Linked DNA regions of Ovis aries. The protein of the gene in region 1 interacts with the protein of each later gene in a biochemical or structural test. Links are inferred from orthologs where the notes say so. Each region holds a gene or a part of one and is shown in the gene's direction. Other genes may lie near its edges.

Region 1 (5,663 bases):
GGAATGTGTGCTAAATAAAACAGGAAAAGACTTTGGAGGAAGGCTGGGTGGGAAATAAAGGTGCAGGGGCGTCCCGTTTTATTTTTTTATCTTAGGTTTTTTCATTAAGGGTAAAATTTGACGTTGGTGCGCAATTGTACCAACATCAATAATCCTGCCCATTGCTAAGAAACCTAAAGGTGGAAGTGGCAATACTTGCAGTGTTGGCTCTCTAGAGAGCTCTCGTAGTTCTGGTTAAGAAAGACCCTCTGTGAGCCAAGACCAGATGATAGTTTTGGTTCTACTGCACCACTATTTAAAATAGTCTCAGCCAAGCTTTCAATTAACACCCCCAATACAATACATAGGGAAAGGTCAGCACTCTTTGAGGTATTTATTTTGTTGTCTGGTTGTTTTATGGGAATCTATAACTAAGAAGATCTACGGGCTTAATTTGTTAGAAAGCTAATGCTGGGTAATTCTCTCTCTTGTAGAAAACAACCACAGTTGGGATCAAACTGAACTTCACTCTTCCGCCTTGTGACTTTTTAGCAGCCTGTAGTATAGACTCAGCAGGAAATAGCACCTATACCCCGACTGTAACTTTCAACTGCTGTTATGAGCCCTTTGCTGAAATAGCAGCTGTGCTGCATGTGTGCTCGTGTGTGCACACACACACATACACATAGTCCCCCTTGAAAACCGTAAAAAGCGGCCACCACAGCTAGGGGTTGAGCTTGTAGTTATCTCCACAGGGAAGATGCTGCTGTGAGATTGCTGATGTTACCTGACCAGTGTGACTTTTTCCAGTGTTGGTGGATTTTACTTTCCACAGTCTTGTTTCTAACTACTATTTCACTCATCTAGACTGTCAACCATTGATGAATCTGGTTCCATTTTATCCGATATCAGCTTTGACAAGACCGATGAATCCCTGGTAATGAACACTTAATTTCTGAGAATTATCTATTTTTCTTAACCCTGCTCCGTCAGGAATCTCTCTTCTGTCCTCTCTTCTGAAATTCCCTTGTTACTATTTTATTAGTTGATATGTTATAGATAATGACTAGCTTTTAAAAATATAAATACACACAAGCCTGAAAGAAATTGGCTTATATATTTAGCCTTTGGAAGTGAGAATATGGAATTTAGGATTTGGCATGAGGTTAAATTTATTTAATGAATCTGTGAGCTGCCTATACTAATTGGTTATTACATCTTGACTTTTTAAAACCCCAGCTAGGGGGGAAAAAAAATTATCAAGACTCTATCCAGGCAGGCTTTATTTGCTGCTCTTGGCTAGAGTAGATGTGTGCCTTATTTCTAAATTAAATTAGTTCTTGAGGAAAACTTAGTCATACTTCACAATTAGAAGGAAACCAGTGCCTTGGAACTTTAGCCCAAAGGCTGATGAAAGTTTCCAGGCACTAGACAATACCTTGGTGAGCAGTGGTTCACCTGTCTGAGCCCTTTGTTGCCCTGCTGTTGTGGGGCAGCACCCTTCTTGTAATGTATGGTGGGGTTTCTGCATAAGAGGTCATACTCTGATATTCAGTCTTTGTTCCAGAGACTTGCAGCTTATGGTTTCTGTAGCTTTCCTCTTTGACTGGTGGAAAGCTAGCAAACAAAACAACAAGTCAGGAGGTTATTGGTAGTTGGTCATTTGATGATAGCAAAACAAATGACAACTGCTTGTTACATAGACTCAGAGTTTTCTGTCCAAATTCAGAGTTTGACTAGGGCAGTAATTGCTCTTTTGTAAATATTAATATTAGGTATCGCCTTTTGGGAATAAGGAATGACACAGTTTGGGATTTTTAATAAAACTAGAATATATTTCTAGCTAATTTTAGAGCTAGACCTCTGCTGTAATATCTGTTGTAACTGAAGCTGAGTCAAACAACCAGTAGCTAAATTACTTGACCATAAATTGGAAAGGTTAAATTTATTTAGCTAAGCTATAATATATACAACTGTTTAGGGGTTTTGTGTTTTCAGAGACTATCAGGGTCAGGAGGTCATAGGTAGCTACAAAAGATGAATGCAAATGGTTGAAGTGAGTGAAGTAAAACTAGACCACAGTGAAAGACAAATGAATACTTTTTTAGGGCTCAAGGAGGAAGGATGATTGAGAGATGTGAATTCTAAACTAGAACTTTTAAAGTGGCTACCTTGTATAGAATATCGAATTAGATGGTAGCAGTCCCTTATGAGCAAGGATCACATCTGAACCATTAGTATAGTGCCCACCATTCTGTGAGTTCTAAAACTAATTACAAAAATAATCAGAAACAAAGGACCAGGTACTGAAGATAATCACGACAGAAGTTGATTCTTTAACCTTTTCTTGCCTCTGTGGTATTGATTCCTGATTCTATTATAATAGCTTCAATTTTGGAAAGAAGGCATGTTCACTTACCACAGCACTATGGCTATAACATTTGAGAATTGTGAGTTAGATACTCAGACTCAGGAGGTTTTTAAAATTTTCTGTAAATGTATTTGCATAGGATTTAGGGAAGGCCTAACCAAAGAAGGAAATTGATACAGTATAATTGTCAACAGGATTGGGATTCTTCTTTGGTAAAGACTTTGAAACTGAAGAAGAGAGAAAAGAGGGTATGTATGGTTTTGTTTACTTTTGGGTTTGTGTGTGTGTGTCTGTTTTTACTTAGTAGCAATAAAAGAGTTTCCTCCGAAATGTTGCCATTGTGCTACATTCCTGACATGTTGCTCTAGCTGGTGTTAAACACATATTACAAGTGAATCCATGTTGGGGGCGGGGGCAGTATTGATGTTCCCTGAGGTAGTAATTGCCTGGAAAATCCCATGGACAGAGGAGCCCAGAAGGCTGCAGTCTATGGGGTCACTAAGAGTCGGACACGACTGAGCGACTTCACTTTCACTTTTCGCTTTCATGCATTGGAGAAGGAAATGGCAACCCACTCCAGTGTTCTTGCCTGGAGAATCCCAGGGGCGGGGGAGCCTGGTGGGCTGCCGTCTATGGTGTCGCACAGAGTTGGACACGACTGAAGTGACTTAGCAGCAGCAGGAGCAGAGGTAGTAAACTCAGGACAGAATCCTGTCCTGCCTGTTTCACTATTCTGAGCTGATTTAAGTTCATTCATGGAGAGGAAAAGGATCTATTTAAGTTTGTTTTGAGATGTCATATGAATTTTTATGCAGAACTTTTGTGCTCTAATAGAAGTTTCAGATGAAATGTGTATATAATGGGATATACAGAGATCTATCTGTGCTTGTTTAGGGTCCTTAATATGTTTCTAGGACTTCATGTTCTTAGATAGGATTACACTCTACTTTTTCTGGTGCTGCCATCTAAATTTTTCCAAAGCTTGCTTGTTCTTCTAGGGCACTCAGGGCCTTTTTGTGGAAATAGGCTGTGAGAGAGAGCAGATTGTTTGTTATTTCCTGCAGCCCTGGTACCTAGGACTTGCATCCAAGTTGTCTAATGGAATAATTTTATTTTTTGTGCTTCAGATCTCCTATCTGACACTAAAGTTCTTGGTTTTTGCCCCATTTTTAGCGCTCGAATAGCCGACAGTTCGTGGATGGTCCACCTGGTCCTGTAAAGAAAACGCGTTCCATTGGCTCCACTGCAGACCAAGTAAGAATAACTAGGCTGAGAGAATTGTGGTCTTGAACATAACAAAGTGTGGTGGCCCCAAGCATAAAAAATCCCGAGTCAACATTGCAGTGTTATTTCGAAAGAGCTGTTTGGTGAAAATTCTTCTCTGTACTGGGATCCTTATCCATCTGAATAGAATAGTAAACAACATCAGCTTCATGCTTGTTCTCAGTTGCTTGTATACCCCTGTGACCTGTATTTTCATTTGAAAGTATTAGATTTCAACTTCAAGAGTATTTGGGGCTAGGGGCTTAAGTCCTTACTAAGACTCAGGAATTTTTTAACTACACCAAACCACCCATAGTAGAAGGGAAATTAGATTTATCCTTCCCTCATTACTGCCTTTGTTTCAGGGAAATGAATCCATAGTTGCTAAAACTACAGTGACTGTTCCCAATGATGGCGGGCCCATCGAGGCTGTGTCCACTATTGAGACCGTGCCATATTGGACCCGGAGCCGAAGGAAAACAGGTCCGCTGGGTTTGTGGCTGAATTGCCTATGTAAAAACAACTGGTGAAATCCGGGGAGAACTGGTTTCTTAGAACCCTCATGAGTCAGGGGCTGGATGTTTCAGGTCGTTCACTGTACTGCTTCTTACTGGGGGACAGAGCCCTGTTTTGTCATGCCCTGCTTTGGCTTGCTAGCCTGACCTACACCGCTGGTGTGTAGCTTGTCTCTCTGGAAACTGTGTTGCATAGTTCACTTCTGGGTGTTATAGACTCCTGGTTATCTACTAGTTATATTGTGTATTTGGCTGTGTCGGATCTTTGCTGCGGCACTCAGGATCTTTGTTGTGGCGTGCACGTTTCTTTGGTTGTGGCTCACAGGCTATTTAGTTCCCCTGTAGCATGTGGGATGTTTCCCAACATGGAAGACATATTTCTTTTCCATGTCCCCTGGCACTGGAAGGGAGATTCTTAATCACTGGACTGCCAGGGAAGTCCCTACTGGTTATATTAGAATTGGGGTTAAAATTCAGACGGGAGAATTACCTGGCGGTCCAGTGGTTAGGACTTCGCACTCTGACTGCCAAGGACCCTGGGATCAGTCCCTGGTTGAGGAGCTAAGTCTCATGAACCACAGGGTGCGGCAAAAAAAATTCAGAAGGAACGAAACATCTAAGACACAAAGCTTGGAGTTGTCTGTTTTCTAGGTACTTTACAGCCTTGGAACAGTGACTCCACATTGAGCAGCAGGCAGCCAGAGCCAAAAACCGAAACAGACGGCTCCAGCACTCCGCAGAGCAATGGGGGGATGCGCCTGCACGACTTCGTCTCTAAGACGGTAAAGCTGGGGCTGCTGCTGCTTTGGGACACATCTAATTTTTTAACGGTGGGCGTAATATTTGCTAATCACAAATTTAAATATTTAGTGTTGTAAAGTTAAATGTCAAATTTCCTTCCTCCTCATCCCCCTCTCCAGGGTTAGAGAGGGTGTGTATCTTTCCATTCTGTGAGTGATAGTAAAAGAAAGCAACTTTTCAGAAGCAGTGTTTGCTTTATCATGATATGTATTTACAGTTCATGCTTGAATATGGCACGCCTTAACTTTGTCCCATTTGATTTCTGGTAAAAATCCAAGCAAACTGACAGGGGCACAGAGGCCTTAACTGACTTGTTTGAGCCACAGGACAGTAAGTAGCAGAGTTTAACATAGAGGTTTTCTGACTCCTTGCCAGCAGTTTCTTTCCACTAGTGTATGGTGATCCCTTTGCAAATTACTTAGCCTCTTTTTGCTTGTTTCCTTATCTTAAAAAAAAAAAAAAAACCCTATAGGATTATTGTGAGAATTACACAAGTAAAAAATATGTGTAAAGGGATGAGAAAGCTATTGGGCACATGCTAAGTGCTTAATAAATGTTGATTGATGATAAATGTTCTAATTCATACCATTCCCTGTTTCATCCTCAGGTTATTAAACCCGAATCTTGTGTACCATGTGGAAAGCGAATAAAATTTGGCAAGCTGTCTCTGAAGTGTCGAGACTGTCGTGTGGTCTCTCATCCAGAATGTCGGGACCGCTGTCCGCTTCCCTGTA
Region 2 (5,663 bases), on another chromosome or scaffold:
TCTTCCCTTTCCACTGTGTTAACGTATCTTTCATAGAGTTGTATGCACTATTTAAGAGGATGACTGCAAGTTGGTGAATGCTTTCTTTGGTTATGAAGAGTGCTAATGTTTGAATACTTTGTTTATAATACAGTATGTTTCTCTTCTGAAATGATACCTGATGAGATTTTTTTAAAAAGCCAGGAATTAAGTCATTTTAATTTCAGGGAATGTTATTATCTCAAAGATGGAAAACATTATAGATCTAGCCAAAAAGGGGTTGGAGACTACTGATTTCGATGTTAGTGAATAATAAAAGTGTTTTGCTTAAACGTTTTTAATTTTAATAGAAGAAATGCCTCAGATTGAAACCAGAGTCATACTGGTTCAAGAATCTGGAAAACAAGAAGAACTTATAAAAGCCTTAAAGGTATGGAGATTGAACTTTTTATTTTTATTTTTAAAGAGACTATTTTCCTTCCATCAGTGCATAAATTATAGTTTTCTTAATCTCATAATTAAGTCTCTTTTCCACAGACTATTAACATAATGGAAGTCCCTGTTATAAAGATAAAAGAAAGTTGTCCTGGAAAATCGGATGAAAAATTAATAAAAAGTATTGTTAATATGGTAGGTCGAGCTTTTCGTTGCATGTGGCATGCTGCACTTCCTTTGATTGTATTCTATAGTCCACTTAATGGTGATTGGGCCTAAAGTAGACGTGAGGTATACTTTGAACACTCTGAAACTAGATTAATGAAAACTATGACATTTATTTTAAAATTTGGATGTTTCTGAAACCTCAAACTATAATGTTTTATAAATAATGAAATCCTTATAGAGTAATTTGGCATTGTTAAATTTAAATGACATTTCACTTATGTATTTGTGAAGATCTAATACTTTAAACTCTACTTTTTCCTCAATAATTTTATTTTATTCCAAATTCTTGCATTACTTCTACAATTGCAAGTCAATACTTGACAGTCATCAGGGAATTTACCTCACTGTATGAAATATCTCTAATTCCCTATACCAGCTAATACTAGATTGTGAGGGTTTCCATAATAACATATGCTGGGCGGCTCAAACAATAGAAATATGTTTTCTCACTTTCCGGGAGGCTAAAGTCCATGATCAAGGTGTCAGCAGGTTTGGTTTCTGTTGAGGCCTTTTTCCTTGGCTTGTCGATGACTGCCACCTTCTTGCTTTATCCTCATGTGGCTCATCTTCTGTGCATGCATATCTCTCTTGTATGTCCAGATGTCCTCTCTTACAAGGACACCTATCCACCTCTAATACAGTCTGACTAGAATCCACCTATGTGACTTCATTTAACCTTTATTACATCTTGAAAGGCCATATCTTGAAATAGTTACATTCTGAGGTACAGGGGATTAGAACTTCAACATGAGTTTTGGGATACACAATTCATCCCTTCACATCAGCCTGGGAAGTAAAGCCCAAATATTGACTCCCCCATTTGAATTTTCTTTTAAATGGTTCTGTTCTTTTTATACAAGTCATGTAGATCCTTAACTATCTTCATTCTTTGTCAGGGATGTACATTACAAAGTTGTCTTTTTAAATCCTGTGTATACAAAGTTGTAGTTGCCTCCATATTTTCTTATGTTCCTCTTATTTCCCTCATATATACTGAACTTTCTGTAGATGTTGCATGTCATAGTATTTTTTTCTTTTTTTCTGACTATAATTTGTGCAGGAAGAACTATGTGTATGGCATCATTTTCTCAGTCAGAATAAAAAGCAACTCTGGATATCTTTCTAAGGCATCCTACTATCAAAATATGTGTACTTAAAAAATTCATCATCCCTATTTTTATATCCATACTAGATGCTTTATAATGGCTACCAAGTCATGTCAGAAACTTACGCCTTTATAATAATTTTCAAAATTTAAAATCTTAATGTAGAGATATATTTATATAAATAAGTAAAGAAATATGACTTCACTATTAAGTATAATGCTCATTGTATGGTTTAAAACTTAAGTTTCTACATTTCTACAAATATACAAATAAAAATGTTGATACTGAGTTGATTTGGGGGTCTTATTTAGAGAGATTTATAATTGATTTTATAATATATAAATTTTATTTCTTAATAATGCCATGGAAAAAAATCAAGGAAATTAAACTGCCATTTGTAAAGATGGAATCAGTTGAAGAAGTTAAAAGTTTGGATTCTCCAGAATTTGAAAATGTATTCATAGTCATGGACTTCCAGGATTCTGTCTTTAATGAGTTATACAAGGCTGATTGTAGAGTTATTGGACCACCAGTTGTATTAAACTGTGCAGAAAAAGGAGAGGTAAGAAGGAATATATGCTTATTATAACTTTTCAAGGTTAATAAAATTTTATTAATGAATTTTTTGCAAAAAAATCTCATTAATTGTTGAGAATATGAAATATTTAAAATAGGAATAGTAGTGGCTACTCTATAGTACTACCTTCTGTAGAACTCAGAAGTCCTTTAATCATAAATAATATGTGTGTGCGTGCGTGTTAAGTCGCTTCAGTTGTGTCCGACCGTTTGCAACCCTATGGACTTTGGCCCGCCAGGCCATGGGATTCTCTGCCCTCCCTCCTTCAGGGGATCTTCCCAACCCAGGGAACGAACCTGACCCAGGGATCAAACTCCCGTCTCTTACATCTCCTGCATTGGCAGGCAGGTTCTTCACCACTAGCGCCACCTGGGAAGCCCGAAGAATATCATATGTATATACAAAATCTTAATACCTGCAGTATCTTGGGAAGAAATAATTTGCTTTAAACCTGAGTACCAAAGATATGTATATATAAGTACATAAACTTTAATTTTCTTCCACATAGAACTGCTACCACAATTGCATTTTTATCAGTTTCTACTGATAAATTAGGGAAATTACTTTAGCTTTTTGTTTTTGAATAGCATTTCATTCAAGTTGTAGCAGAGGTGATACATATTTTATTGCTCTGTTTTGGCATTCTTAAGCTTGCCTTAGTAACTTTAAACTGCTTAGATCTTTGTGCTTCTTTTATTATAGATACTAATGATGAGCACATTATAATCTTTTAGTTTTCTGTTTTGATTCAGAAGTCTTGTTTTTAAAAAACACATAAACATTTTAAAGGCCAAGATTATGGAAAAGTATATTTCTGCCCAATAGTGGGAATTAAATTTATATCTGTTTTTAAGCATTCTCTTTCATATATAGATAGATAAAATCATTTGTTAAATTATTTACTATCTCCATTTTTTAGCTGAAAAGTTAGAATCATATTTGGTTCAAGTATATGTATGATCAGTATTTATTAGAAAAATATTTTTGACCTCTTTTAACTTTAATTTGAAGCATTTACAGTAGTATATGGAAATCTTTTATTATAGACAATACCTCATGTATCAAAGTACATTTTGGAAACAAAGGTGTGGGTATGGATATTTATGTTTTATTTGGCAGTAGTAAAGTGTGTTTAGATTATGTGTATCAAATATGATATGGGAAATCATGGGAACTTTTATTGTGAAATTGATCCTTGCGATTTCTTGCATGTTGAAAGATGCAAGTATATTTTGGGGTTTGGAGTGTTAAATGGCAAGAGAGGGAAATATGTTTAGTTTAGAAAGATGTGTTCTATTTTTGCTGTAGAGAGTCTCACAGATTTAAAATTGTATCCTTCAGCCCCTGCCATTTGCATGTCGCCCACTCTATTGTACCAGCATGATGAATCTAGTAATATGTTTTACTGGATTCAGGAAGAAAGAAGAACTAGTAAGTATTTTAAAACATTCTAGTCAAAGAATATTTCCTCTAGAAAAATAAATTTGCCTTTTTTTGGTAGTTGTATCATGATTTTATTTTTAAAATATTGAAGGAGAAATTACTGTGAACGTGAAGTGAAGTGAAGTCGCTCAGTTGTGTCCGACTGTGCAACCCCATGGACTGTAGCCCACCCGGTTCCTCCATCCATGGAATTTTCCAGACAACAGTACTGGAGTGGGTTGCCGTTTCCTTCTCCAGGGGATCTTCTTGACTCAGGGATCAAACCTGGGTCTCCTGCATTACAGACAGACGTATTACCGTCTGAGCCACCAGGAAGCCCACTATGAGTATGAAAGGGGTCTTAAACTTTGTGAAGAAACACTCTGAAGAGCCTTGTGAACAAACAAATGTTTTGTCTAGGGTGGCTGGTCTGTGAATTAGGAAAACTTCGTAGCTGTCTGTTTAAATTGTCTTTTTAAGTATTTTATTAGCATATTATTTGAAGTTTTTGTTTATGCATTGCCATTTTTTATTATATATATCTAGTCTTAAAGTATTCTCATTGCTCTAGAGAATTCATAGAAATTTCTTTCTTTGATCTGTAAAATTATTTATGTTGGAGCTAATGCCTGGCATGCTGCAATTTATGGGGTCGCAAAGAGTCAGACACGACTGAGTGACTGAACTGAACTGACTGAATGGGGTATTAATAGAATTCAGTGGGAAGAATCTTGATGTGATGACAACCTGGCTTTTAAAAAGTAATAAATTGAGGACATACATTTTTTTGGGACACAAGCCTGTTGTGTCCCCCTTTGCCTGGCAAAGCAACAAGCTTTTTTACTTCACCACCCACCTCTAAGAAGTAATATCTTTACTTTTTCACTTGTGTGAAAGCCAGTCTTTAATTAACTTAGTTTTGTATGTTAATCTTAACTACCTTATCTCTGTATGATTTTGCCTATGCCAGTAAGGCAAATGAATCTTTTAATTTTTTTAACATAAACTTTATAAAAATTCTTTCATGTACCTGATAAATAGAAATCAGTATATGCTAAATGAACTATAAACATCATTTAAAATTTTGTTTATATTAATCAAAAAAAACCAATGTTTACTTTTTCTTTTGAGGTCAGATTGGTGACATTGGTTCATCACATGGGTGGAGTTATTAGAAAAGACTTTAATTCAAAAGTTACACATTTGGTGGCAAATTGTACACAAGGAGAAAAATTCAGGGTATGTAAATTTTAGTATTTTTGTGTATTTCAATATAGCACTGTTTGGTAATGGATTTAATGAAAGTGTTCTCATTTTGTCTATTTCTCTCACAATTTATTGAGGATCAGAAATTCAGTTTTTGCTATATGTGTGTTTAGTAAAAAATTTTAAATCATAGGAGTGTGGCCCCTGAGGTTTGAAGGAGGCAGTGGAGCTTGAGTTAGGTCTTGAAAGATGATTAGGATAGTGGAGGTTGGTAAGTAAATAACATTTTAGATGAGTAATATTAGGAAAGAATTACTATGAGCGTTGGTGAGTAAGGGGGTCAGAAGGTGATGAAGGTAGGTATTTTTCTCTTATCTAGAGCAGAACTTTGTTCTTATAAAATAGTTCCAAGATTTAACTTGTGAAAATTATAGAACAGGAGAAAATACTTTTATTGGGATTAAAGTCTTAGTTCAAGATCGCACTTGAAGAGTTTATCACTTTGTTCTCATCCTCCATCAGTGTATATATGTAGCAAATGGTAAGTTTAGGGTAATCTTGAATTCCTGGAAGGTATACTTAGAATTCATATCTAAGATTTGGTGACCTAATCAGATATATTCTCTTAAACTCTTAGTGCTATCATGGGGGTTAATACTTCTAAGTAGACACAGAAATAGAAATGTAATAAAGATGAACTGAATCAACTT

The links.
Region 2: the proteins of RACGAP1 (region 1) and ECT2 form a complex in vitro, tested with the Homo sapiens proteins (3 studies listed by BioGRID and IntAct, with this or other methods). The link is inferred for Ovis aries from reciprocal best matches to the Homo sapiens genes RACGAP1 and ECT2.

What each region holds. Positions count from the first base shown.
Region 1 is NC_056056.1:136,296,446-136,302,108, forward strand, and holds part of RACGAP1 (rac GTPase-activating protein 1), read left to right. Parts: intron 1-846; coding exon 847-916; intron 917-2,544; coding exon 2,545-2,598; intron 2,599-3,523; coding exon 3,524-3,604; intron 3,605-3,978; coding exon 3,979-4,096; intron 4,097-4,779; coding exon 4,780-4,910; intron 4,911-5,536; coding exon 5,537-5,663.
Region 2 is NC_056054.1:215,452,191-215,457,853, reverse strand, and holds part of ECT2 (protein ECT2), read left to right. Parts: intron 1-329; coding exon 330-409; intron 410-516; coding exon 517-609; intron 610-2,127; coding exon 2,128-2,310; intron 2,311-3,666; coding exon 3,667-3,756; intron 3,757-4,878; coding exon 4,879-4,986; intron 4,987-5,663. UniProt on the Homo sapiens protein: Guanine nucleotide exchange factor (GEF) that catalyzes the exchange of GDP for GTP. Promotes guanine nucleotide exchange on the Rho family members of small GTPases, like RHOA, RHOC, RAC1 and CDC42.